Linked DNA regions of Stegostoma tigrinum. The protein of the gene in region 1 interacts with the protein of each later gene in a pairwise test. Links are inferred from orthologs where the notes say so. Each region holds a gene or a part of one and is shown in the gene's direction. Other genes may lie near its edges. The genes, in order: creb3l1, tmem218, pgap2 and gpr25.

Evidence for each region.
Region 2: the proteins of creb3l1 (region 1) and tmem218 interact in binary tests that used the Homo sapiens proteins (3 or more experiments, as listed by UniProt). The link is inferred for Stegostoma tigrinum from reciprocal best matches to the Homo sapiens genes CREB3L1 and TMEM218.
Region 3: the proteins of creb3l1 (region 1) and pgap2 interact in binary tests that used the Homo sapiens proteins (3 or more experiments, as listed by UniProt). The two-hybrid records come from large-scale screens. The link is inferred for Stegostoma tigrinum from reciprocal best matches to the Homo sapiens genes CREB3L1 and PGAP2.
Region 4: the proteins of creb3l1 (region 1) and gpr25 interact in binary tests that used the Homo sapiens proteins (3 or more experiments, as listed by UniProt). The two-hybrid records come from large-scale screens. The link is inferred for Stegostoma tigrinum from reciprocal best matches to the Homo sapiens genes CREB3L1 and GPR25.

The regions. Positions count from the first base shown.
Region 1 is NC_081370.1:475,799-482,814, forward strand, and holds the start of creb3l1 (cyclic AMP-responsive element-binding protein 3-like protein 1), read left to right. Parts: upstream 1-4,010; 5' UTR 4,011-4,376; coding exon 4,377-4,475; intron 4,476-7,016.
Region 2 is NC_081385.1:30,801,483-30,809,022, forward strand, and holds the start of tmem218 (transmembrane protein 218), read left to right. Parts: upstream 1-4,519; 5' UTR 4,520-4,579; intron 4,580-4,929; exon of another isoform or gene 4,930-4,951; intron 4,952-7,540. UniProt on the Homo sapiens protein: May be involved in ciliary biogenesis or function.
Region 3 is NC_081359.1:111,740,147-111,748,055, forward strand, and holds the start of pgap2 (post-GPI attachment to proteins factor 2), read left to right. Parts: upstream 1-4,889; 5' UTR 4,890-5,103; coding exon 5,104-5,114; intron 5,115-5,175; exon of another isoform or gene 5,176-5,889; intron 5,890-7,909.
Region 4 is NC_081374.1:27,294,691-27,301,067, forward strand, and holds gpr25 (probable G-protein coupled receptor 25), read left to right. Parts: upstream 1-4,560; 5' UTR 4,561-4,756; coding exon 4,757-5,854; downstream 5,855-6,377. UniProt on the Homo sapiens protein: Orphan receptor.

The DNA.
Region 1 (7,016 bases):
GCTGATCCATAGAATCACACATTCATTCAGCATAGTAACAGACCCTTCGGTCCAACCAGTCCATGCCAGACATAATCTCAAAGTGAACCAGTCCCAGCTGCCTGCTCCTGGCCCATATCCCTCCAAACCTTTCCTATTCATGTACCCGTCCAAATGTCTTTTAAACATTGTAATTGTGCCCACATCCACCACTTCCTCAGGAAGTTCATTCTATACGCAAACCACCCTCTGTGTAAAAAATTTGTCTTTTTGTCTTTTTTTAAGTCTTTCTCCTTTTACTGTAGAAATGTGTGGAGAGTGAAAGCAGAGTTAACATTTCGGGTTAAGTGACCCTTCCTCAGAACACATTTAATTATTAAGTTCTTTTCTTCCTTTTGTTCCTTTGACTCACTTTTTACTTTCTCTTAAACCAATATTCAACTATCTCTCTTTATTTCTTTTTCTGCAGCCGATTTGGTTTCAAACTCACTCAATCTAATTTGCTCCCCCACCATCTGCTTACTTCCCAATTCCTTAACCTGGTCTTGAAATCATCCATCCTTGGGAAAAGTCAGCTACCATTAACCTTATCAATACCCCTCTGATTTGTTCCAGATCTCAATAAGGTTGCCTCTCAACCCTCTACACTTCAGTGAAAAAGTCCTAGCCTACCCTAGATAACAAGGTGTAGAGCTGGTTGAACACAGCAGGCCAAGCAGCATTAGAGCAGCACGAAAGCTGACATTTTGGGCCCGGCCTATCCAGCCCTTCTTTACAACTGAAACCTTCCATACCCAGCAGCATCCTGGTAAATCTCCATCTTAATAATATCATCCCTATAACTGGGTGACCAGAATTGGACACAGTATTCCAGAAGAGGCCTCACCAGTGCTCTGTACAACCTCACCATCATGTCCCAACTCTGATACTCAAAGGACTGAACAATGAGGGCAAGCGTGCTAAATGCCTTTTCAACCATAAGTAATGGGTATTTATTCAATCTGTTATCTTCCTTGGCAACCTGTGACCCATTACCTCGGTTTCTCTCTTCACAGATGTTGCTTCCATCATTTTCTGTTTCTATTTCAGATTTCCAGCATCTGCAGTGTTTTGCTTTTGTTTCCAACAACAGTTCAGTCTAACCCACAGAATAATTAAAGCTGCCAAAGTTTGCTGGGTTGCCTGATCTGCTATATTTAACAGCTCTGTTTTCAGTGCAAAAAATAGAAATATATACATTTTTTTAAACAGGACACTTTTAGACTTAAAGACCATTTCAGTCATCAAAATATACACATCTATTTTTACATCTCACAGCTGCAGAGACAGCTTCTCCACACTTAGAGCTCTAATTGTTGTGCGATAGAATGACAGAATTCCATTAAAATTCTTAACTCTGCAATTCCCTTGAAGATGGTTTATTTTCCTCTCCTCATTCCTGTTTTGTCTTCATGATATTCCTCCAGCCATGTACCTGCATGACCTGGGGGAGCAAAGATGGTCTTCAGCAGGTCGTCCACCAGGGGGCATATGTGAGCTTTCTCCTGGAGGCTCCCCATTCAATCCTTTGCTGTCCTTTACCTCCTTTATAATAGGTACAACCTCCTCGCAGCTACAATGCTGTCCGACGCCACAGTCACTAGCGACATATGGCTAACTGTGTGTTTAACTAGCAAATTAAATAAATGGAGACACTCGGTGTGTAACTCACTTGTGACACGTGAGATGGTGGGTCCAGTCACACAAGGAGTTCATGTTGTTGTTGCAATATGCACATCTACATGAACACTGCAGCACGGAATTATGAATTGCGATGGCAGAGAGTGGCATAGCGTCTCAGTGGTTAGCACTGCTGCCTCACAGGGCCAGAGTGCGGGTTTGATTCAGGTGACTGTCTCTGCGGAGTTTGCACAGTGTGTGTGGGAGTTTCCTCCAGGAGCTCCAGTTTCCTCCCGCGGTCCAAAGATGTCCACATCAGAGGGATTGGCCGTGGATGTGCAGGTTAATAGATTAGTCATGTGAAATGTAGGGATAGGGTCTGGGTGGAATGCTCTTCAGTGGGATGGTGTGAACGTGATGGGCCGAATGGCCTACTTCCATGCCATTGGGATTCTACAAACTCTCTTTTTACCTCATTTCTGCTCCTACCCTTTAAAAACGTTCAGCCTTGTTAAGACGTCGCTGTCTTGGCACATCAAGTCTTTGGGGTGGGTAAAAACAGAAAGCCAGGGAAGGACCCGGCAGGTCTGGCAGTATCTGAGAAAGAGAGGTGAAGTTGCTTTCAGGATGACTACCTTTCAGAACTGGAAAGAGAGGAGAAAATGCGATGGGTATCGTACTGAAGCTGAAACAAACAGGAGGCATTTAAAGGAAGGGTTGGGAAGGGGACATTAAATGCCAAAGATGTTGTGGAAAGCAGGGTAAGGGAACAGTAATGGTTGTAGTTTTAAAAAAAGCGCTGGTCCAGTGTTAATAGCACAATAAAGCACAGCTCAGTTAGAGCAGAGGCATAAAACAATGCCACTGGTATTTGTCAAAAAAAGACAAAATTGTTGGACTCAGTTCCTGCTCTGAAGTTGCTGAATTCAATGTTCAGTCTTAAAGGCTGTAGGGAGCATCTGTTATATTTCTTGTAATTGCATGAGTGATGGATGGGGGGTGTTTAAGGATGAACCAGGGTGTCCCTGATGGAATTTGGATAGAAGTGGGTCAGGTTGGGAGGTCACATTCAGTGGTGACATGATGCCAGAGCTGGTGGAAGATGCTGACTTGAATATGGTGGGGTCAAAAGTGAGGATGAGGGCCATATCCTAACCCAGCTCTGAGAGACAGTGAGGGCAGAACCGTGGTAATGGATGCTGGCCTCTCACGGCTTGGGATGGTGTCCACCACACTAAAATGGCGACCTTCTTCGGAAGGTGTACCATGACCTTTATTGTTGGTGAAACGCAGTGGGAAAATGCAGAATATTGTGGGCACTTCCCTGGTTGGCAATTTGACGTGGCTACAGAGAACATGTGCTTGTGAAGTCTGGTCATTGACTTCAGGAAGCAGGGTGGAAGATAAAGTGGAAGTGGTTAAGAGCTTCTAGTTCCTAGAGTAAGGCTCACCAACAATCTGTCCTGGTCCATCCACCTCAATACTACAGTCTAGAAAGCACACCAAAACCTCTACTTCTTCTGAAGGCTAAGGGAATTCAGCATGTCCACAAGGATTGACCAACGTTTATGGATGCACCATAGAAAACATTCTATCCGGATGGATCATGGCTCGATATGGCAACTGCTCTGCCCAAGACTGTAAGAATTTACAGAGAGTGCGAACATAGGCCAGTCCCTCACGAGAAACAGCCTTCCTTCCATTGACTTCATCCACACTTCCCACTGGCCTGGAAAAGCAGCCAACATAATCAACCCCTCCCACACCGGTTACACTCTCTTCCAGCCTCTTCCATCGGGCAGAAGATGCAACAATTTGAAAACACGTACCATCAGATTTAAGAACAGCTTCTTCCCTGCTGTTATCAGACTTACAAATGGACCTCTCATATATGAGAGCTGATCTCTCTCTGCACCTTCTCAGCAGCTGTAACACTATATTCGGCATTCTGTTCTATTGCCCTGATGTAGGGTACAATTTGCCTGGCAAAACAGTACTTTTGGCACATCACAATAAGAAATCAAGTCAAAAACTACCTGTTACAGGAGGGTGTAGGTGGCTAAAAATGGTGATGCTGTGGCAACAGTTGGGCTTTACCCAGTGGACAAGGGCAGCAGGACGGAGCTGGGGAATGGAGGAGGTTTATTCTTGTAGGTGTCAAATTGGTCCGTCGTTGCCCTTCAGCTGGCACTTTGAAGTTATCTGTACATCTATCTAGTTGCCCCCAGCACTGTGAGGGAGAGGGATCTAGGTTTAACACAATACCTGCTCTCCAGCTGCTGGCTCAGAGAACTGAAAAGGTTAACAGTGCAGAGAGGGGAGTGACGTTATGTCTTGGAGTGGGGGTTGGTGGGGGGTGGGGAGGTGTGAGGACTGTGTGTGAACTGGCTAGTGACAGTCAGATGAAGTTTGGGTCGGAGTTCATACAAGGAGAAGGAGAGAGAGAGAGAGAGACAGCCAATAGACAGAGACCGAGCCCAGAATCTGCAGCTGGCTACCAGTTTGTGTGAAACTGACATCAAACACAGACATCAGAGAGCTCCCAGACACAGCGAGAGCTGCACCGGCACAGCCCGAGCTTTCCGAACGGCAGGGGAAGCCTTTAGCAAAGCCCGGAGCACGGGTTAAAGAGCCCGGGCTCCTAAAGGCTATTCCCCTGAGCTCCAGCATCGTGCACGATCCCACCGGATCCCCTAAACCACAACCCCCACTTTCCCTCCCCAGCTCTGTCAGCCACTATGGATATCCTGGATAACTTTGGAGTAGAGAAACTCTTCGCAGCTTCAAGCCTTGTGGACTTGGAAGATTTGAACGAAGCCGATTTCCTCACCAATGTGGTAAGTTTCTGGGCTAAGCAGCTCGCTTCTCTGTACAGAGCTCCTTCTGCACTCTCTCTCCATCTCCAACATCCTACTACTTTTCCACTTCATCTTGTGCTTGTTCCAGTCAGACCAGGACTGAAATACACGCAAACACACACACAAATCAAACTCTATACGAAAATACTGGACACACAGAAACATAGAAGAGGCATAAAAATGTACTGACAAAACAAAACAGACATGCACGCTGAAATATACAAACCACAGAAATGTACAAACCACGGAAACACACTGCACACAGAAATATTTAAAAAAATACAGAAACGCACAGACATGCACACGGAAACACTCATGAACAATGCACAAATACATACAGACACAGAGATACTGGCACACATAATGAAACTGACATAAACGTACACAGATACAAGTGAGGAAGGAGACAGAAACCACACGCACACACATACACAGACAGAGTACACACAAATGTATTTGCAAACACACACTGAGACAAGCTTGTACAGACAGATACACACAGGTACAGGGATCCTCACAAACACACACACTGAGACAAGCTTGTACAGACAGATACACACAGGTACAGGGATCCTCACAAACACAAACTCCCAGGGATTCAGTTACTCACCAAGTCATGTAACACAAAAACACTTACTCACACAGATGTGCTACCCCTCCAAGACATATTTTCCTTCTCTGTGGTTTTCAATTAAACCATACCCCAACAAAGTGAAATGTCAACCGGCTCTTGATAATACTAATACAAACTTCAGCTGTAATCAGTGTCTCTGAGCTGACTCAGACCGTTGTGGATTCACTTTATATGTCTGCTTGAAAGGAAACCAGCTGTGCACATCCTACTGCAGGATATTCCACTTAGTTGGAGTTCTCTGCTGTATTTTATATGGAACACAGCTCAGAAAACAGGGCTCATTTGCTGGCGAGTTAGTATAATAATTGGGGAGCTGGAATTCCCACCACATAAAGCAGCTTATAACAGAATGGTACATTATGAATTTTAGCACCGAGCACCTACATTTGGAATGTATTTGAGAAATAATTTTTTTTTCAATTCAGGAGATGTTTACCTAAAGAAAGGTGTTTGTGTGAAAATGCTGGTGATAGTCAGTCTGGTCCCAGTGGAGTAAAGGGAGACAATTCAGCTCCATTAGGATGCGGGAGGGCAGTGCAGGTTTTTAGAATGCAGTGCAGTGAACAGGACCAGTCCTGTGTGAGTGTGAGACAGGCAAGCTCTGTTAAAGTGATTAGGAACAGTTAATGTGCTCTGATTTCATCTGTGGAACAGTTTGGTGTCCATTGCATTATGTAGAACAAATGCAAATATGGTACTATACTGTATCATCTACACCATTCTATATAGCATGTGTTGCTAATATATTGTAATATAGTATATAAAGAATATGGCATATGAAAAAACTATACACATTTAATACTGTCTGTATTATACTTATCACTGGATTAATGAATATCCATTGTTTGCTATTTTCCACTATATGGCTAATGGACCCAATCTTTAAATACTTCTTTACAGTTATTATATAGATGCATCTATTGCCATATGGCTGGGATGGTGTGGCTGAGTCATGTCTATACTGTTTAATCACCTATAGATTCTACATTAACATTTGGTAAGATGGAGCGAAAGTTGTATTCGTGATGATGTCTTATTGGTCATTCAAGCTGATTGTTCTAAAGCCTCATACTCTCACATCGCTCCTCCAACCAGTGCAACCCTCACTGGTTCTTAATCTGTTCCTGCTACTTTCTGGTTCTAAATTTATAGATATTTTCTAACTGATCTTTTCAACAGTGTTCTCTCACACTTCTAGAGCTGGTGGGACTTGAACCCTGGATTTATACGTTTGCTTCTTCTGAGTATTTTCCTGTTTTGCCCTGGTGACTATTAGTTTTGTTTCTGCTTTAGGCTTTGTGTTTAGGCCTATTTTCTTCCTATATGAGTCTCCCAGCTTGCTCTCAGGAAATTGCTAGTTTTTTTTGCTCTAGATTCATTTTCCTAATTGCTTTCAGTATTTACCAGTTTTCTTCCTGGTTTATTTTTGGCCTGCTCCTGTTTAAGTTCCTGCTGTTAGTCTGTTTCATACCTGGGTTGTACGACTTGCTAGCACTTGCATCTTCCAAGTTACAAAGTTGTCATTACACGTCCCAGTTCAGAAACATGGGCCTGTAATCTCGGCTTCAGTATCCAGAATGTGCTGCACTGTCAGAGATGTTGACTTGCATATCCTGGCCTGTGTCCTTTATTCCAGGTGATTCCCTGCTTGCTCATAGCCAAATGTTGAGTTTGACCAACTTGCACAAAGTCTTTGCACACTCATGTCTCTGTTCTGTTTCACCTGCATTTTTGTTTCCTTGTGTGTGCCTGTGTCTATTTGTGTGCTTGGACTACCTGTATGACTTTGCCAGTGTATCTCAGTGGCTGTTTGTTGATGGCTCTGTGGTTCGAGTGTGCCCGTCGCAACGTGCATATGTTCCTACTAGCACGTGTTTCTTCTCTCT
Region 2 (7,540 bases), on another chromosome or scaffold:
TTCCTTGTTTGAAAACTAAAAATTACATTAAAATTACAGTAAGGCAAATCAATTTAAATATTGTATGGTTCCACCAGTGACTGTCTGGTTGCCAATTCTCTCAAGAAAGAATTTGCACTGACCTTTCAGCTGTGGCTCCATTGGTAACAGTCACACTTCTAAGGTACGAGGATTTGAGTTTAGGTCCCACTGTAAGAGTGAAGCACCAAAAGCAACAGTCCGATGTAGTTTAGAGGGAGTGCTGAATTATCAGAGAGGCTGTCTTTAAGATGAGATGTTAAAACAAGGCACCTGTTTGAGTGCATGTCAAATATTCCATGGCAGTCTTGAGGCGAGCAGGGAATCTAATCCTGGTTAATAAAATGTGGGGCTGGATGAACACAGCAGGCCAAGCAGCATCTCAGGAGCACAAAAGCTTTTGTGCTCCTGAGATGCTGCTTGGCCTGCTGTGTTCATCCAGCCCCACATTTTATTATCTTGGAATCTCCAGCATCTGCAGTTCCCATTATCTCTGAATCTAATCCTGGTGTTTTGGCCTACATTAATCCCACAATCAAAGTCACAAAACAGATCATCTGGTCATTATCATCATAGTGACCGGAGTGATATCAGCCAGGTATCAGCCTTATAGAATATGAGTTGCCTGATTGGGGCTGCTAGCCTGGGCTAATCAGGGAGTCTTGCTGACAGAATGAAACAGGACTGTCAGAGATTCTGTTCATTCTCAGAGCTCGCACTGAACTGGCTGGGTCAGTGTTATGTGCTATGCATGTGTAAATAACGGGTGACTTGGTGATGGGAAACTGGCCTTCATAGAGTTATTTCAATCACGTTGCTGTTTGTGGTGGTTTGCTGTGTGCAAACTGGCTATGAAGTTTCCTCCATTACAACGTGAAATATATTTCAAAACTCATTTCATTGACTAAAATGCAATGAAATTTCTGGTGGTATGAAAAGTGCTTTGTAAATATAAGACTTTCTTTTGTTAATATAGTGCTTTGTGAAGAACTTTTGTTTGAATAGCAATTTTCATGTAGTTGAGATATGCCAAAGTAGTTTAATTTACAACCAATTACGTACTTCTGAAGGGTTGTAACGAAAGAAAAATGGAAGATAATTTGCATTCAGTACAATCCCACAAATAGTAAAGAGATAATGACCAAGCATTAGATTACCTTATAGATCTGATCACTTCAGTAAAAAGAAAAGTGACCATGGTCCTCAGAAGATCATGGATTGTGCTGAGTTTAGGCTGAGGGTCACGCTTTTGGAGGGGTGGGGCAGGGGGAGCTGGGATGTTAATAACCACTTTAGGTATAGGTAACTATATATTAACTCTACATTAGGTCACTGTACGTTCACTCAATCAATTAGATTACTCTGTACATTAACTCTGTGTATTGTTGTGAATTAATCAATATATTAACACTGAATATTGTCTCTTTTTGATTAGCCCTATATGTTTGATCTGCAGTAACTCTCTGTATGTCATCTTTGTATATTAAATCATTATGGATATCAACTCTTTGTATATTAACTTTGTATGTTAACTCCCTGTATTGTAACACTCTTCAATGTTAACTCTGAATATTAACATTGCAACCAGACCTGACGTCAGGTTCCCCAATTTGTTATAGTTCAAGATGGGATACCCAAATTGTTAAGCTCCTGGGTGAGGAATGAAGAGTCTCCCTTTCTTTATTCACTCACCTTTACAGTCACAACACCATCGTGAAATATGGATCAATCTCTGAATTGTTCATGAAGACCACGCTGCTGTGTGGATAACATCAACTTTGTCAGTTGACCAATCAATCTCAAGATTCTTTGTTTTGTAAGTCAATTGAAATTCCTTTGACTGGTTTCTCTTGAACTTGTCAGAGTGAGAGACAGTCTTACCTTCTTGTTTTACTTGCAGTGCATTGTGATTGTTCTCAAATCTGTAGCCTTCACAGCTCTCTCGCCTACACATTAAGATGTTCAGACAACAACATAGGCAGGCTAGTGTTGCATGAATTTTATGAACTCTTTCTTTAGATATTTCTTAAGGGTAAAACAGATGTGTCTGCAAGAATGGATTTCTGCTGAGAGGGAAGTTCGTCAGCCCTCTCATCATCTCTCTGAAGGGTCACTGGACCTGAAACATTATTGCTTTTTCTCCACAGATGCTGTCAGACCTGCCAGGTTTTTTTTTTAGCAATTTCTGAATTTGTCCCTTGTTAATTTCTCGTTAATTGTCTTCCTGATTCCCTGACTGTTTGTAGTCACGACATTCCCCTGGCTTCACAATGGACTTTGCCAGTCACTGAATTTAAGGAGTTACTCTTTTTCTATAGCAGTTATTTATTTTAAAGCTTGGTATTAAGTAAAACATGTCTGTAATATTTCGGAATTCTGACCTGTCATCATAATGTTAGCTTACTCTCTATATTAACTCTTTGTATATTATGTCTGTATTTCAAGTCTCTGTATAATAACTTACTGTATATTAACTCTTTACATTAGCAAACTGTAAATTGAGATCTTTTCCATTGGTTGTCCTCATATAAAGTCTGAATATTAGATCCTTCTGTATATTAAGTCACTGTATATCGAGTCTGTATTAAAACTGTATATTAGAGCACAGGACATTAACTGTGTTTTATGTCACGGTACATTAATTCTATATTAGATCATCTTGTATATTAACTATGCATATTAATATAGATATGAACTCTGTATATTAGATCCCTGTTTATTAATAAAGTATATTAGATAGCAGCATTTAAAACTGTACATAAAGTTGTTCCGTGTATCGACTCTCTGTAAATTAAATCTTTATATTACTCCCTGTGTATTAACTCTGGATATTGGATCACTCTGTACAATAACTGCTTATTAAATCAGTGAGAGATCACCATCAATAGATCACTGCATATTTACTTTTTGTATAATAAGACTCTAATTTAGATCACTGCACACTAATTTTCTGTATATTAATTCCATACTGTTTAGTTGGCTGTATATTAATTCTGTGTAACTCTAAATATGATGATTATACATTAAAGCTGTATATTAACTATATGTTAGATCACTGTATATTACCTATCTTTATATTAATTACGCATATTAAACGATTATATATTCACTCATATTTACTATTTTAGATGACTGTATATTAACTGTATATTAGCTTTCTATATTTGATTACTACATTCATTCTCTGCACATTAATTCCCTATATTACATCATTGTATATTTATTGTATGTTGATTTACTATTTATAAACTCTATATCCACTGTGAGTTAGATGACTATTAGCTGGCTGTATATTAACTCTCGATATCAGATCATAGTATGAACTCTTCATATATTAACTATATCAGATTGTGACAGCTACTGACTATCTTAATTATATCAGAGATAATTGGAACTGCAGATGCTGGAGAATCTGAGATAACAAAGTGTAGAGCTGGATGAACACAGCAGGCCAAGCAGCATCTTAGGAGCACAAAAACTGACGTGTTGGGCCTAGACCCTTCGTCAGAAATGGGGGACGGGAAGGGGATTCTGAAATAAACAGGGAGGGAGGGGGAGGCGGATCAAAGATGGATAGAGGAAAAGATAGATGGAGAGGAGACAGACAAGTTAAAGAGGCAGGGATGGAGCCAGTAGAGGTGAGTGTAGGTGGGGAGGTAGCGAGGGGATGGGTCAGTCCAGGGAGGATGGACAAGTCAAGGGGGTGGGATGAGGTTAATGAACATCAAGCAGATGTTCACCTGCACATCTGCCAATGTGATATACTGTATCCACTGTACCCATTGTAGCCTCCTCTACATTGGGGAAACCAAGCGGAGGCTTGGGGACCACTTTGCAGAACACCTACGCTCAGTTCGCAATAAACAACTGCACCTCCCAGTCGCGAACCATTCCATCTCCCTCTCCCATTCCTCAGATGACATGTCCATCCTGGGCCTCCTGCAGTATCACAACAATGCCACCCCCTCCCCCATTTCTGATGAAGGATCTAGGCCGGAAACGTCAGCTTTTGTGCTCCTAAGATGCTGCTTGGCCTGCTGTGTTCATCCAGCTCCACACTTTGTTATCTTTAATTATATCAGATTTCTATATTGGCTTTATATTAACTCTTTACAACAAATTATTTTATCAACTAATTATAAATTAACTCTTTATATCAGATCATTCAAATAATTCTGGTATATTATCTCTACATCAGGTCACCATATTAATTGTCTGTACATTATCTCTATATCAGATCATTTTATTGACTGTATTTAACTTTCTAAATCAGATCACTATATTAACTCTATATATGAACTCTCAAATTACTTTATTTACTCTCAGTATATTAATTTTCTTTGTTAGATCACAAGATGAACTCTGTAGATTAATTCTGTATCAGATCACTATGTTAAATCTGTATTCACTCTTGTTGCACTCAGACGTAGACAGTTACCATGGCATTTTAACCTGAATGTATGGGAGCCTCCTATTGGTTGAGACACCCTTTGGGCCAATAGGCGCGATGGATGTTGCAAGGTGCTGCTTCTGCTGCGAGTTGCTAGGCTGGCATATGCAGGTTTGAATTCATCTTCATTCGGGGAGAGTATTGGGTATTGGTAAAAGGCAGATTAATGATAATGTTGGAGCTGCTCTTTTCAGACTAGAAACCGCATGCATGGAGCTAGCCATTTTTTGAAAGAGTTTGGGTCGAGGTGAAGAGATGGGTGTTATATACCCTCTAGTTGGATCAGACAGTAGCCCATCAGGTACAGAATGGTGTTGGGAAGTTTCCCAGAGGGATTGCACTTTCTGGAGAGGGGGAAGATGTGTTTGGTGATGGAATAAAAATGGCAAAGCACTCTTGGAAGGCACCGTGCCCTGTAAACTTTACGCGCGCACAACTGCGAAGTAGCCCATATTTAACAAGCTTTAACAGCATAACTCTTCAGTAAGTTGGCTGTGTATTTCTTCCGTAAAAAAGTTATTTCTGCTGGAAGGTGTGCACTAGAGGTTCTTATATAGACGTGAGGAGGCAGTCAACAAAATACGCAATGACAATGGGACATTTCCAGGGTCATGTTTATTTAATGAATAAGCATCTCCGCTGCTCTAGGACGGATGGTCCGTGTCTCCATCAGAACATATTCAGCAATTGAGAAACTGGGTGTAAGGAACTTGGGTTTTTCGCATGAAGCAGAGTGCAAAGACTTCTTGGTACTGATGAACATGCAATTCATATCTGGAGAAACAAGTTTTGAGACAAAGAAGTACTGGAAGCAGAGGGAAAGGAAGACTATCTGAAGTATAGTAAATGAAAAATAACATCCGGACTAGAAGCGGAGTAACAAACAGCACTGACACCTCAATTTGTCTTGGATGGGGTGAAGGAGCTCGTAAAAACCGAAAGAACTGTGGATGCTGTAAATCAGGAACAAAAACGAAGTTGCTGGAAAAGCTTAGCAGATCTGGCAGCATCTGTGCAGGAAAAGACAGAGTTGATATTTCGGATCCAATGATCCTTCCTCAACAGGAGCATGTAATTGATCCTAAAGAGGATGAGACAAAGAAAGCTCAAAATATCCAACAATCAGAGATGAAAGAGAAGGAATTTTCATAGCTTTTAGTTGGAAGAAGTGTGTGGCGTTAAAAGTTTATTTTTCCAAAAAAAACGTGTATCTAACCGTGATTGACATTAAACTCCACAATTGTAGTTGCAAGGAACAGCAGAAGAGCCAGAAAAGAAATTTAAACCAAGTCTCAGAATTGGGAAGGCATCAGAATCTGGAATCAAAATATACTTAGATAAATTTAGTCAAAGGTGTAACAGAACAAGAAAGGTCTGGAATAATTAAAGATTTTAAATCAACATAATTAAGTAATTACATTTCAGTGTCAACTGAAATATTTTAAAAGAATGCAGCAAGAAAACATACATTAAAAATGTGCAGAAGATGATGCTTGGTGTTTTGAACTGTGAAAAGGAATATCCATTTCACCTGAAAAGAACTAAAAAATCTGTCTTAGCTGCAGAAAGTTACAATGTCATCAAAAAAGTAGGTAGCTATCATTTTGATTATTAAAAGGGGTGGGAAATACTCTGAAAGAAGTGGAAAAACCCAGGAGGTAGTAAAGAGATGTAGTATTACAAAGAAATGGATTTAAAAACCACTCATTTGTTACAGAAGAGTGAATAGTACTAATTAAAGTCTTATTAAGTAATTAATACATTATAATAGGAATAGCAGTAAAAAGACTGGGATGTCAAAGAAAATACTGTAACATTGCTGTGATGGGGAGTTCAGCAAGGTCTGTTTAATTTACAACTGCATATGTGAATGCAAGTTTGAAGAATAGAGTTATAGAATATTGAATTAACACCGATTTTAAATTTATCTACATTAATAAGATTAATCAGTACCTTGTGGGGAAAAAATGGATAAAGATGTAAAAATATTTCCAAGCTATTCAAAGGTTGAGAAGGAGCATGCAGAACACAAGACTAAATTTCATTGGAGATGACAGTTCTTCAAATGCAGGATTGCTTCAAAATCAAAAATTAAATGCAGAAGTAGCTCACAGTCACGCTGTTGCAGAAGGTGAGATTGTATACGCAAGGACCTTTAGAAAATATAACTGAAGCATCAGAGAGGAAGTTGGTGATCCCAACCATCTGGGATTCAAAGAAGAGAGATAACAAGGTGTATAGCTGGATTAACACAGCAGGCCAAGCAGCATCAGAGGAGCTGGAAGGCTGACGTTTTGGGCCTAGACCCTTCAGAACACCCAAAGGGCCATGCTGTTTGACGTAATGACTAATCTTTGAGCCTTACAGCCCACATACCATAGTCTTTGCAGACGAAGAACATGTACACACATTATGCCCCTTTCATCTTAATAGGTGACGAGTATTCTTTGGTTCATTCCTCAGCAAAGCCTTGACCAATCAGTGTCAACCTTTTCGTCAGAATTTAAAAAAGCTTAGTAGTTATTGAACATTGTTTAACAGGTGCATTCTGCATGACAATGTCTGTACCAGTTAGAGTTCACATGCTGTAGTGGAATAACTGTCAGAAGCATAGAAGTCTACAAATTACAGAACACTAAAGTGGACAGAAGAAAGTTGAAAATGTGTAAATTGTTCACAACCAAGAAACTTCACGTTAAGCCGGCAAACATGTCACATCTTCAACTTTCTTAGGAGAGTCGAAGGAGTTTGACTACCTCCCAGAGAACAGTTGATCCAGAAACAAACAGTTGTCATCCAGGCTGATCTTGGGGAAACTTTCACTGGGCTTCCTAGATGTGGTGGAACCTACAGGGTTCTAATAAATGTACTATAGTTTTATACATTGTGTAATGGAGTATACCATGAAAAACAAAAATTTGGAGTGGGAGATGTTGGATAAGGTAATGGTTCTAAAAGAGGTTAATGTTTTTGTTACATTGGTTCCACCCATTTGACTGATGTTACGTACAATTTGTGGGTGGAGATGAGATCTACGCAAGCTCTCAGGGAGAGCAGATGTATCTGTCCTTA
Region 3 (7,909 bases), on another chromosome or scaffold:
GTGGCGGCTGGTACAATTACAACATTCAAAAGGCATTTGGATGTGTATGTGAATAGAGGGATGTGGACCAAATGCTGGCAAATGGGACTAGGTCAGATGGGGGTGTCTGGTCAGCGTGAATGAGTTGGACCGAAGGGCCTGTTTCCATGCTGTACAGCTCTATGACTCCATTGGTGGCCTTCAGCAATGTGGGCTCTGCACTCTGGAATTCTCTCCTGAGTTTTCTCTGTCTCTCTTTCTCCATGCTCCAATAAAATTTTGTGCATCATCTTGTACTTATTTAGGCTTTGAAGCACGTGCAGAAGGACATACAGAAACATCAAGACCTGCCTCATTCAAAGAAAGAGAGCAAGTGATGCAGAGGGCCCAAACAGATGAAGACATCATTGCCAGTGCCTGTGGTCGAGTGCTTAAAATCAGGGACATTTAAGAAGCCAGAATTACACAAACAGATTTCAGAGAGTTGTGGGATTGAAGGAGATGACAGAGATAGGGAGGAGGCAAAGCCACGGAAAGAGTTAAACACCAGTTAAAGAACCCTGTAATCGAAGCAACCAACATGGATCAAGGAACACAGGAGCAGAGGGTGAATAGGGTTTGCCACAAGTTTCTACCTTTTTGTTATTGCAAATTACTGAGGATAGGAAGTGGGAATCCTGCAAGAGGAGCATTAGAGTAATCAGAGCTTGAGCATAAATGAAGGTTCCAGAAGCAGATGTGTGGAGATAGGGATGAATCCAGGCAATATTAGGGACCTGGGTGATGTGATAATTTGGTTGAAAAGTCATCATGGGATTGAATGCGAGACTAAGGTTTAAACTGGTACGTTTCAGTCTCAGTCCGGTGTAAGGGCCAGGAATGGATTTGGAAGCCAGTGACCAGAGTTTATAGTGGGGAGCAAAACCAATATTTTCACATTGTTCATTTGGAGAACCTCTATCACATGGTACTGAATTTTAGTCAAACTGTATGACAACTGAAGCTCATGCAAGGGTGGGTCTTTGGTCTTTCTCTTATCATTGAGTCAGAGTCAGAGTGCAAACAGCATGGAAAGAGGCCCTACAGCAGCTTCTCTTTCTTTTTCCTCTGGTCCCCTATGATACCATAAGATAAAGAAGTAGAATTAGGCCAATCAGTCCATCAGGTCTGCTCCATTGTTTTATCTTGGCTGTTAGGTTTCTCAGCTCCATTTTCCTGCCTTCTCCCTGCTGTGATCCCCTTACTTATCAAGAACCTATCTATCTCTGTCTTAAATGCACTAAATAACTTGTTCTCCACAGCCCTCTGTGGCAATGGGTTCCACAGATTCACCACCCTCTGGCTGAAGAAATTCCTCCTCATCTCAGTTCTAAAGGGTTGTTCCTTCACTCTGAGGCTGTGCCTTCAGGTCCCAATCTCTCCTACTGATGGAAACATCTCCACATCCACTCTATCCAGCCCTGTCGGTATTCTGTAAGTGAGTTTTGAGAAGATTTGTAGCTCAGGTTGAGGATCTGGATGTGAGTTTGCTCGCTGAGCTGGAAGGTTAGTTTTCAGACGTTTCGTCACCATTCTAGGTAACATCATCAGTGAGCCTTCGACGAAGCGCTGGTGTTATGTCCCGCTTTCTATTTATCTGGTTAGGTTTCCTTGGGTTGGTGATGTCATTTCCTGTTCTTTTTCTCAGGGGATGGTAGATTGGCTCCAAGTCAATGTGTTTGTTGATGGAGTTCCGGTTGGAATGCCATGCTTCTAGGAATTCTCGTGCATGTCTCTGTTTGGCTTGTCCTAGGATGGATGTGTTGTCCCAATCAAAGTGGTGTCCTTCCTTATCTGTATGTAAGGATACGAGTGATAGTGGGTCATGTCGTTTTGTGGCTAGTTGATGTTCATGTATCCTGGTGGCTAGCTTCCTGCCAGTTTGTACAATGGAGTGTTTGTCACAGTTCTTGCAAGGTATTTTGTAGATGACGTTCGTTTTATTTGTTGTCTGTATAGGGTCTTTTAAGTTCATTAGCTGCTGTTTTAGTGTGTTGGTGGGTTTGTGGGCTACCCTGATGCCAAGAGGTCCGAGTAGTCTGGCAGTCATTTTAGAAATGTCTTTGATGTAGGGGAGAGTGGTTATGGTTTCTGAGCCCGTTTTGTCTGTTTGTTTGGGTTTGTTGCTGAAGTTCTGTAAGTTTCAATCACATTACTCCATATCCTTCTAAACTCTGAGTACAAACCCAGAGTATTTAACTGCTCCTCATATGACAAGCCCTTCATCCCTGGGATCATTCTTGTAAACCTTCTCTGGACTCTCAGAGTGGCATGGTGGCTCACAGTGCCAGGGACATGGGTTCAATCCCAAGCATGGTCACTGTCTGTGTGGAGTTTGCATGTTGTCCCTGTGTCTGTGTGTGTTTCTACTGGGTGCTCCGGTTTCCTCCCATGGTCCAGGGATGTTTTTAGGCTAGGAGGATTAGCCATGATCATGGCCTGGTGTTACAGGGATAGGGTGGGATGCTCTTGGAGGGTCTATGCAAGCCAAATGGCCTCTTTCCACATTATCCATGCCAGTACCTTGCCCAAACACCATAGGCTTTTAGTTCGTTTAGCAGCCTTCTGTGTGGTACCTTTACAAAGGTCTCCTGAAGATCTGTCCATGATCCCCTCCTCCTATTATTCACCTCCAAGCTGCCCCTCAGCAAAATCCTCAGATCCCAAACGTACACTGGTAACGCCCAGCCCAACTTTGCCAAACCAACAGAAGATTGTTGTTTACTGAACAAGAATGAATTGTAAACAATGTATGCGTACATGATATTGAGAGAGTATAAGGTCAGTAGTTCCCGTACGCATGGGACAGAAGTTGGAAATAGGTGAAACAGAGATGGGCAGCACCCAGCTGAGTATAAGAGTGGCTAAACTGAATTCCGCCTGAGAAAGACACCCTCTCAGAGGCTGTCTGAATCAATACCTACATACTGGAGACAAAAACTTACACCATTCCTTGCTATTCTTGGTAATATCATTGGCCTAGTGATCCAGAACCACAGGCTGATGTTCTGGGGACATACTTCCATAGCAGATTGTGAAATATGAATTCAATAAAAATCTGGAATGGAAAGCTATTGTAACAGGGACCATTTAACCACTCTTAATTGGCAAAACAAAACCCTTCTGGTTGACTCAGGCCCTCTGGGGAATTAAATTTGACATCCATACCTGATCTCCAGATCCACAAGCAATGTGGTCGACTTTTAATTGTCCCCTGGGCAATTAACAATATGCAATAAATGGTAACTCAGCCACATCTCATGAACAAATAAAAAACAAAACTTCTTGTTCAATGGCCACCATTTTCACAAGGTGAAAGAATCAGATATAGTACAACAAAAACAAAGATTGCTGGATAAGTTCAGCAGGTAATGAGCATTTGAGGAGAGGAATTGGAGTTAACGTGTTGGGTCCAGTGGCTCTTCCTTAGAGATTTGGATGTTATGCATTTGGTTGGTTCAACTTACCAGGGTTCACAAGTTGAGATAGTGGTCTTCCAGTTCTCGTGTTCCCCTTTGAGAGGGAGGGTTAGAGAAGAAGGTTGATTTGATATTCAGTTGGTCAGCTTTTTCTGATGAAGGGTCTAGGCCCGAAACGTCAGCTTTTGTGCTCCTGAGATGCTGCTTGGCCTGCTGTGTTCATCCAGCCCCACATTTTGTTATCTTGGATTCTCCAGCATCTGCAGTTCCCATTATCTCTGAAACTCATTTACCTTGTTTCATTTGCTGCATTTATTTAAGTGTAACACCATCAGTCCCTCTTCCGATAGTTATCCCATTATCTGCAATGCCTGAATTTAGATTCCTGCCCTTTTCTATACTCTCTGTTGTATTACTTGTTCTGGAAGTGACCTTCTCTGATCTTACAAAGGCCTTTGATGCTGTCAATCAGGTACCATTACAGAGCATCCTTCTCCACTTTGACTGCACAATGAAGTTTATCACCATCCTTTGCCTGCTCCACAATGACATGGAAGTCATGATGAGAAATGGTGCCACCACCAACCCATTCCCCGTTCGGACCAATGTCAAGCAGGGCTGCATCATTGCCCCAACACTATTGTTGATCTACCTCACTTCAATGCTTCAACTCACCATTGACAAAGACTCCACTGGAGTGGGGCTAACTCACAGAACCAGCAGGAAATTAGTCAATATCCAAAACCAAAATGACCCCAATAAGTGTCATCCAGCTGCCATTAACAGATGATGATGTTCATACTTTTGATGTATGCAGACTCAGGGGATGTACTCCAAACCATTGACAAAACCTTACTGGATGCTTTTGAGAGCATTATTTGGAAGTGCTGGTGTTGGATAGGGGCGGACAAAGTCAGAAGTCATACGACATCAGGTTATAGTCCAATAGATTTCTTTGAAATCACAAGCATTCAGAGTGCAGCCCCTTTGTTGGGTGAAGTGAGAAAGTGCACACAGATGCAGAATTTATAGGCAGAGAAATTTCTGCTTTTGATCTCTCTGCCTATAAATTCTATATTTGTGCACTCTTCAGTGACATCCTTATGGCCTGGCCTCACTGGCGAAGTGCTATATTCCCACAGACATTTGGGAATCACCAGCCCAACACTGTTCAAATTGGAGGAGCTTCAGAAAGACATCAAACGCCTTGAGGCTCGCTGTGAAAACAGGGCCCAACCCCTTTCCCTCCCCAAACTCCCACACTCCAGGTCACACCATCCCTCCCTTCCTGCAGGCCACACTCTTCTCCCCCAAGGACCCACTCCAGTCCCATACCCTCTAATTCCCACCAACACCATCCTTCCCTAAGACCCATTCAGTCCCCAAACCACAAGGCTCCGCCCCCTCACTCCAGTCCCCGCCCCTCTCCATGCCCCGCCCCTCCGACGTCTATCCTTGCACCGCCTCCTCCTCCTAGTCCCCGCCCCCTCCTGGTGCTGATCTCTCGGTGGCTTGGGCCCCATTCCGCCCCCTTTCGCCGGTTGCCGTCGCTGCTGATGGTCCTGAACTCGAGGACCTGGCTTTTAGGAAGCGGCTGGGCCGCGAGGCCAGGATTTCCCGGGGTTTCTGAGCAGTTTGTTCGGTGATTCCAGGAGGACGGCCCGCGATGGGGGAAAGGTGAGAACCGGGGCCGTCCGTCACTGTCAGGGGGTCCGAGTGAGAGAGACCCGGCGTCGGATCGCGGCCTGAGGGAGATCTTCCGACCCGCAACCAGTGAACCCCACCGACCGGGATCCACTGACCCACACGCAGTGATCCTCATCGATCGGGATCCATTGATCATGCTGTGATTTAGTGGCCCACTGACCAATGTCTCGTGACTTGAACCCACTGACCAATCTTAGTGACAACGATCCAATAAACAACTGACTGGGACCCAGTGACCAGTAGCGACTGGATGGGAACCATGGACCGTGATCCACTGTGGAACCCAGTCACTAATATCCAGTGGCCACAATCCACCGAACAGGATCCAGTGATTATAATCCATTGACTAGGACCCTCTGACTGAGATCCAATGATCCACTAATCACAATCCACTGGCCAGGAACCAGTGACCCATTAAACATGATCCAGTAACCCACAGACCAGGATCAAGTGACCCACTGGCCAGGCTCCAGTGATGGGGACTCAGCCCCTTCCAAGCCCACAACCACTTCCATCTAGAAGGACAAGGGCAGCAAATACATGGGAACACCAGCCCCCTGCAAGTTCCCCTTCGAGCCACTCGCTATCCTGACTTGGAAATATATCACTGTCCTTTCAGTGTTGCTGGGTTAAAATCCTGGAATTCCCTCCCTAATGGCATTGTGGGTCAACCTACAGCACATGGAATGCAGCAATTCGAGAAGGCAGCTCACCACCACCTCCTCAAGGGCAATTAGGATGGGCGGTAAATATTGGACTTGTGTGAAGGAGCTTTGGTGAATTTCTGCAGGGCATTTTATAGATGATATCTCTGCATCTATTGAACATCGGTGGTGCAGGGAATGGATGTTTGTGGATGTAGTACCAGTCAAGTGGGCTGCTTTGTCCTGAATGGTGTCAAGCTTCATAAGTGTTGTTGGAGCTGCACCCATCCAGGCAAGTGGGGAGTATTCATCACACCCCTGACTTGGGCCTTGTAGGTGGTGGGCAGGCTTTGGGGAGTTAGGTGTTCCCAGCATCTGTATTTTATGTGGCTTGTTCCAATTTAGTTTCTGGTCAGTAGCAACCCTGTAGTGATTGGAACAAGGTCAGCCAGGTGGATCTCATAGACTATGAGTTCCCTGTTGGGGAACCTGGTCCAGGCAGGGAGACCTGGCTGACAGATAGAAACAGGAGTGCCAGCCCTGAGATATCTAGGTCATGTGTAAATAAAGGGTGACTTGGTGATGGGATACCTACCTTTGTGCAGTTACTTCAGTGGTCACGAGAGTTGGATTGCAATTTTGGTTGAAGCCTAAGAGAGATGCTGAGACACTGTTTGGTACGTGGGATTGATGATGAGACCATGCAAAAGCACCTACTAGCTGAAGCCTACCTAGACTTCAAACAGGCACCAGAACTGGTTTTGTCATTAGAAAATATAGCATGCAGAGCTTGTGAGTTACGGGGTATTCCAACAGAAGTGGAGACCCTCGCCAGACCGACTGAGCTTGGGGGAACACCACTCCTGAATTGAGTAATAAGCTAATATCCAGGAGAATGCACACCCTGGAAAGACCATTGACAGCTGGTTTGGAACAGTTCAATTGCTTAACAACACCCAAATCAGAACCTATCAAAAGAAGCATCTGGTGAAATAGTCACTCCGTTCTATTGGAGGTTGATATCAGTGCTTGCAGAACCAGTCTGTACTAAAATTTGCTCTGGACTCCAAGCCTTAAGTTTGTGTAAGACCTCGGCCAGGCTGAAAACCTGTACCGGGAACCCTCTACAGATTATGGGCACAATTTTGGTTCTGGTCTCTTAGGAGAAGCAGCTGGTTCAGTTACAACTGATTGTAGGAAAAGGCTTGGGCCTGAGCTTGATGGGCTGAATGTGGTTGAGAAAGATTCAACTTCGCTGATGCAATATGTTTCAATTAGAAAACAGCTGCATGAGTGAAGTCCTAAATAAACACCTAGAGGTTTTTCAAAAAGATCTAGGGACTATCAAAGGGCCAAGGCCACCTTACATGTTGATCACAAAGCAATTCCACAATTCTGCAAGGCCCACCCAGTGCCATTTACCCTATGTACTAAAGAGAGGCAGAAATCAGGATCCTGGAAAGTGAAGGAATCATCAAACTAGCGGCAGTTTGCAGAATGAGCAGCACTGGTTGTGCCAATTATGAAGCTCAAAGGGTTGTTTTGCTTTTATGGGAATTTCAAACAAACGGTAAACCAGTTTTCATGGCTGGATAAATATCTAATCTCTTGCACAGAGGACTTGTACGCAAAACTGGTGGGGATGGGGGAGGGGGCTGTCCTCCACGAAAGTGACATGAGCCATGCTTATCCTCAATTGTGATTGATTTATTTATTGCTACATGTACTGGAATACAGTGAAAAGCTTTGTTTACAAGCAGTACAGGCAGATCTTAGTAAGCCAGGATGTACAGATCAAAGGTTGTAAAAGTGTGTAGACAGAGGCATATGGGTTACATTGCATGTGCTAGGCGAGATCAAAGTTAGCAACATCAGCATTATTTGAGACTAGAGAGTCCATTCATCCATGCGAGACTGCCATTTGGAGTATCATCAGCCTGTGTCATTTTTTAGCGGACTATAGAGAACATTTGACAAAGTCTGCCCCAAGATGCCATTTATCTGGGTAACGTGGCAATAACAGAGCAGGCTAATAGAGGGCACTCAGAGACAAAAACAGAAGTTGCTGGAAAAGCTAGCGGGTCTGGCAGCATCTGTGAAGAAAAAATCGGAGTTAGTGTT
Region 4 (6,377 bases), on another chromosome or scaffold:
GGTGGATTTTTCCAACAGTGTTTATGTGGTGTCCATTTGGCTAGCTTTTAATTCTAGATATTCATTAAATTCAAGTTTCATTCTCTGCCATGGTGGGCTATGAGCCCATGTACACACAGCATCAGCCTAGGGTTCTTAATTACTAGTCAAGTTACTATTATGCCGCTGCCTCTCAATTATGAGAATTAGCAAGTTGTTTCAGCTGATGAGTCACACCCAAGCTTCATCATGCCAGAACCCTGGATAATTTTCACCTTCCAAACCTGATTAGATCAAGGTCATCAACAGCTGAGATCAGCTAAGTCACCAAAACTTGGAAATGTTGATGGCTAAATTAATTCAAAGAATAAGATGGGTTAGAGCAAAAATTCTTGAGTGAATGTTCTTTTGTGCAGTTTTAAGGCAACACCTGAAAATTTGGAATCAAGACAGCCTAATTAGGAAGGAAAGGTAAGAACTCCCCTCGTGCTTCGGCTTCTATAGAATTCTATTTGTTGTATGCTAATACTTTCTACGTAGTAATCAGAGGAATACCACAATCAGGACTGACTGTTATATTGTTCAGATACAGTGATCTATGGTTCTTCTCTCTTTGCTCTAACTGACTAACTCCACACACACAGTGCTATCTATACCCTGTGAGAAGCAGCACTGTGATATCTTTAAAGCCGTTACACAACAAAGATGTTAATAACTGAATAGGGAACACAGTGTGATAACATGTGATGTTTGATAAGTGCCTGGGGATTTTCTGTAATATTGCACTGTATCTGTGAGCTTGTGTTTTTTTAAAACTTGTTACAAAGGCTTTAGAGTTCTCATATTGGGATTATTTTTCAAGTAAATCAATAATGGAATGTATTATTTCTCCTTGGTATTTTATTTAAGTGTGATTAATTTCCAGAAATAATCTCAACTTTATTGTTCATTTTCCATATCTTTCTGAATTTGCTTGATAATTTGTGAAGTTATTTCTGGTAAAATTCTTCATTATAAATATTGTCCAAATCTTATTATGATACATCTTCAGTTATGCTAGGAAATATATACCCTTGACTGTTTGTCATTCATGCTCCTTGAACTGGTGTTACCATTTCAATGTCTCTCGTAGTAAGAATTATTTAGTTAAGCTCAAATCAATCATTTAAGTTTTCAATTTATTTATAGTGTTGTGCTTAGTAAAACAGAATGAAGCAAGGACAATGAAGTTGGCATGCAAGATGTGAGATCAAAGCATTAATAAACACATAGAATGAGGAAGGACTATAGTAATAATAAGCAGAGGGCTAGCAGGATGAAGAATGAATGGAGCTATCAGAGACACAGATTATTGGAGAGGATGACTAGCATGGTGACAGTGAGCTTCCAAATTCAGTTTAGAATTGGGGTTGAAAGAATAGCATGTGCTGATGTAATGCATCAATTGTGAATTCAAAGAAGGGATCTTGAGATTAAAATGCAATACGTGTCTGAAACAAGAAGAGAAGATGTGAAACAGGGACAATGCAATTGATGCAAAAGTTAAACAACTAGCTCACTTGAGTGCAATTTCAATATCAAGGATTTAAAACTATATCATTTCAACATTTTGATGCATTTCTATTCTTCTGAAACTTTTCATTGGTGCAGGCATTTCAGTTTTAGGTAGATTAAAACTTTTTAATTGTTTACACTTTATTTTTTATGAATGAGCAATTCAAGTACCTGCCTTTATAGTTTGAATTTATGCTGCTTTGTTGAAGAAGATGCATGGTGACATTTTTTGTCCACAAATAATTTGCCACTGTTCTTTTGACTACAGAAGCAAATTAGCTTGTCATGAGGAAACAGTTCTACAGAAAACATTTACAGAGAATCATCGAATTTTACCATATTGAAGGAGGCCATTCAACCCATCATGTCTGTACCGTCCCCCGGACAAGCTACCCTATCTCTGTACCCTTCTAAATTTAGCACTTTCAACTATATATCCAGCTGCCTTTTGAAACCTCCCATGGAATCCACCTCAAACACTCTGTCACACAGCATATTTGAAATCAGAACAACTCCTTGAGTAAAGAAGTTTCTTCTCATATCACTTCTGGCTCTCTCGCTGATAGTCTCGAAATTGTAACCCTTAGTCACTCAAATATCTACTAGTGGACGCAGAATATCTTTCTGTCAAAATTGATCGTAATTTTGAATACCTCAATAAGGTCACCTCTTAATCTTCTCTGCTATAAATTGAAGTCTTCTTTTGCCCTTTATTTCAGATACACACTTGTTGCATAGATAATTATAGTCCAGGAGTAGCAACAAATCAACAATTGAACTAAATAAATCCACTATGACAAGACAGTTAATGCTTAAAAATCATTGCCATACGATGAATAAGTAACGTTACATTACAAATCAGATGAGATGCATTGTTGCAGGAATGCAGGGGATGAGCTACAATGCATAGAAGCAAAAGGAACAGGATTAGACAAATAGCCCACTGAACCCATCCTGCCTCTCAATTAGATCATGGATACAACATAATTCAGTTTAATTTATTTCTGTTTATTTCATACCCTTTTTAGGATTAAAATATGTTTTTAAGGTTTGAAGCCCCAAACTGTACAGGGTATACAGGTAGTGTCCAGCCAAAGCATTGAATAATTGGAATATCTCTTCCTACTTATGTATTGCAACAAAAAGAACATGCCTTGACAGAAAGACCAACATTCATCAGCTACTAAATGCTAAACGTCTGCACAAGTTGTTACTGCTTTCGTGGATGTAAGCATTTAAATATCTTTGTTCTTTCACAGTTTTCAATATTTTTCAACAAAGAAAACATCCTCGCTTGTTTTCCTCAGATATATAATGGAGTTACCTTTGTTATGTTCCAAGCGATCAGTAATATATTAATTTTAGCAATTGCAATTTGAACTTCTATTTTCTCTTGTTGAGAAAAAAATACTCAAGTAAGAAATAAATTGGTTTTAGATGATGCCCATGAATTGATCTGTAATATTTATTTAAAATATTTATTTGCTAATACTCCTTGTATTACAAAGTAGTAAAATTAAGCATGTCTAATATATGTACTGAAAAAAGGTCAACCTGACCTACAATGTGTTTGTAACTAAACAGAAAGATAACATGTTACATGAAGTTCATGCCTAACTGAATTTGCACAAAGTAACCACAAATGATTATATTTTGGGTGCTGGTACTTTGATGAATATGAACTGTGAATATGAGGTTTCAGTTGAGCACTTTCCCGTTGTGTAAATAATTTAATGTGATGGCAGAGTTTTTAAAATGGGTCACTTCTGCCTAATGTGATTTGCAGAAATATTGATTAATACATTAGTTAGTAGATACGAGTAATGACACAGAATTGTACAGCTCAGAAGACCAATCAGCCCATCGTGTTTAAGTGCATACTCTTTGAAAGAGCTATCCAATTATCTTCAGCACCGTGCTCTTTCAATATTACTTTAAAAACGTTTACTTTTTGAGCCTTTTGGGCAGTGCAGCCCGGATCATAAAAATAAAATCCCTTGTCCCTTATTATGAAAAAGAAAACACTTTATCTATTCCTTGGTGTTTTCACCAATAATCTTAAATCAGTGTCTTCTGATTACTGACACAGTTGCCAGTGGATATAGTTTCTCTTTCTTTACTCTGACAAAAAGCCTTCATAGTTTTGAATATCTGTATTAAATCTCCCCTTAACCTTTACAGCTCTAAGAACAATGATCTCAGCTTTGCTAGTCTATCCAAATAACTGATCTTTCTTGTATATCAAAATAAATGTATATTAGTCCAATTTGATAGCATGCTTATAAAGTTGGCTTATCAAGCCATGCAATCTAATTTTGCTAATGTTCGAATCTGCTTTCATAAGCATTCTTATATGGGTTTCTGTAGTTTGTTACACTTAACAAGTTAACATCTACCCTGCAAGATATCCAAATGTAGATCTGTAAAGAAAAAAACAATTTCTAAGCAAACTTGATTATATACTTAATGAAACACACATAGAATTTAAAATATTAGATTAGTTTTGATTAATTTTGTTATTTTGGGCAGCTTTGATATGGTAAAAACATGTTGGGAATCTTGTCTTGTTGGAATACAGTATCTCGTGGTGTGTGCCATTAATTAGACTTTGCCTGATATCTTCAGCTCAAAGCATTTTTGCACTGTAATTTGTTGGATGGGCAAGATGACAATGATCTAGTGTGCACAACAGGGAACCTGAGAACTTTTGAAACCATGGGGCCAAAGTTTTTTTTGAACATTTGTTTCCATTTTTCATATCATATGAAGAATAACTCATTGTATTGACTCATAAAGTATATTCTTATAAAAGTAAGGACTTAACATTTATTTAAAAATCTATAAAAGGATGAGGTATGTGTATTTCGGTGTTGCTTCTCTTAGTTGATTGTAGGAGCAGTTAGAAGTGTTGCACCAACCTCCCGACCTCATCATGTACTGTTATTTCCTGTGCCACCAGACCAATGGCATGTTGACATCGGAAACAGCTTCAGATCAGTTAACTTGAAACCACTATAAAAAAGGGGGGATTTGAAGCTTCCATCTCTGTACTCCGTTAATATTTCAGACCGTCTCTACTTTGCAAACTGCAGAAGTTCGAATTTTTGAGTGCGCCATTGACACTTGTGTGGACGAAAACAAGGAAATTGCTGAAACCATTCTTTTGGCAGCTTGGCATAAGTTACTTCGAAGTCAGAGCAAACTTGCAGCTACCAGAACCGAAATGTCCGCTACAGTTGGAGTCACCGAGCAGCACGGCTACACAGTTTCTGAGTATGCTCCCTATTCGGAGTACAACGATTATGTGGATGACACAGACGGAAGAATCTGTCCTCCTCAGAATTTACATTTCCTCAACATCGCAATCTCAATTCTCTACTACCTGATTTTCATCGTTGGGTCCTTGGGGAATATATTTGTCATCCTGGTAATGATCTGCAAAGAAAGGAGGAGGAAGAGACTGGTAGATACTTTTGTGATTAATTTGGCCTTTGCAGATCTAATCTTTGTCTTCACCTTGCCATTCTGGGCAGCATCAGCCATCAGCGACCATCACTGGAACTTTGGCAGCGCCTTCTGCAAGATCAGCAGCTATATTGTTGCTGTCAACAGGTATTCCAGCATCTTCTTCCTCACCTGTATGAGTATTGACCGATATCTAGCCATCGTGAAACTACGGGACTTCAAGCACCTCAGAACCCAGAAATACGCCGTGACCATTAGTGTCATGATCTGGGTCTCTTCTCTGCTTCTGGCCGTACCTTCCGCCTACTTTCGAAAACCTGACCAAGTGAACGTGACCCAGTGCAGGGAGGACACGGATTCCCTCTTCCTCCGAGTGTTCAATCTGACCGCTGTCAGCCTGACCTTTGTCCTGCCTGTTATCATTATCCTGTTCTGCTACTGCTCCATCCTTGTCAAGCTCCGGCATCATTATGGCCACAGCACGAAAGCCATCCAGAGACGGGAAAACTCTCTGAAAATTGTCTTCGCCATCGTGTCGGCTTTTGTATTGTCCTGGTTGCCCTTTAATGTGTTCAAAACGATTGCTCTGTATTTGCAGTTTCGCGACACCGACCTGTCCTGCTGGACAGTAGTGAGCCGAGGCTTGGCCATTGCTTCGTGCATTGCTTTCATTAATAGCTGCGTGAACCCGATCATTTATGCATTTTTAGACAGGAATTTTAGGCAGAGAACTGGCTGGCTCACTTCTTATGTTTTTGCCGGTCTGGGCAAGAGAAGCGGGAGCTTTGGGTCTGGGTCAACACCTTCAGAGAGCAGCACAATGCTTAGAATACAGAGTCTTCTGTCGCAACAGTGAATGTTATCTGTACACAGGTACCAGACAAGCTGGTATTGCTGATTAAATCTGTCTACAGCTAAAACGTAAAGGGCTGTTGTTCGAAAAGAGATTTTTGCAAGCTTCTCATACAAATGTATCTGAAAATTGGGGAGGTTGAGCCCAATTCTGTTCGACAAAAGAGCAAATGTGTTGCATTGAATAGTTGACTTGCGTTTGCACTTTCACCGAGTGTCGAACGTCTAGATCAGCTTGCTCTGTCGTCATTGAAAAGCAATGCATGTTTCTTAACATGTAACCAAAGTATTTGGATTGCTTTTAATGTTTTATATCGAATTAAATAAACTTTTAATCAAACCTACCTTTTTTCCCTTGGTTCTTGTTCTCTGCTATCATTGCAAGTTTGAAACTTAAAGTTTTAAAAAGTAAACAAAACTGATTACTTCTCAGAGGAAACTAGTAACAGACATGCAGCTATGCAAGCCACAAATGTGTATTTAGCAATTAACTCATTGGAACACGTTCCTCCATCAAAATACTCGAC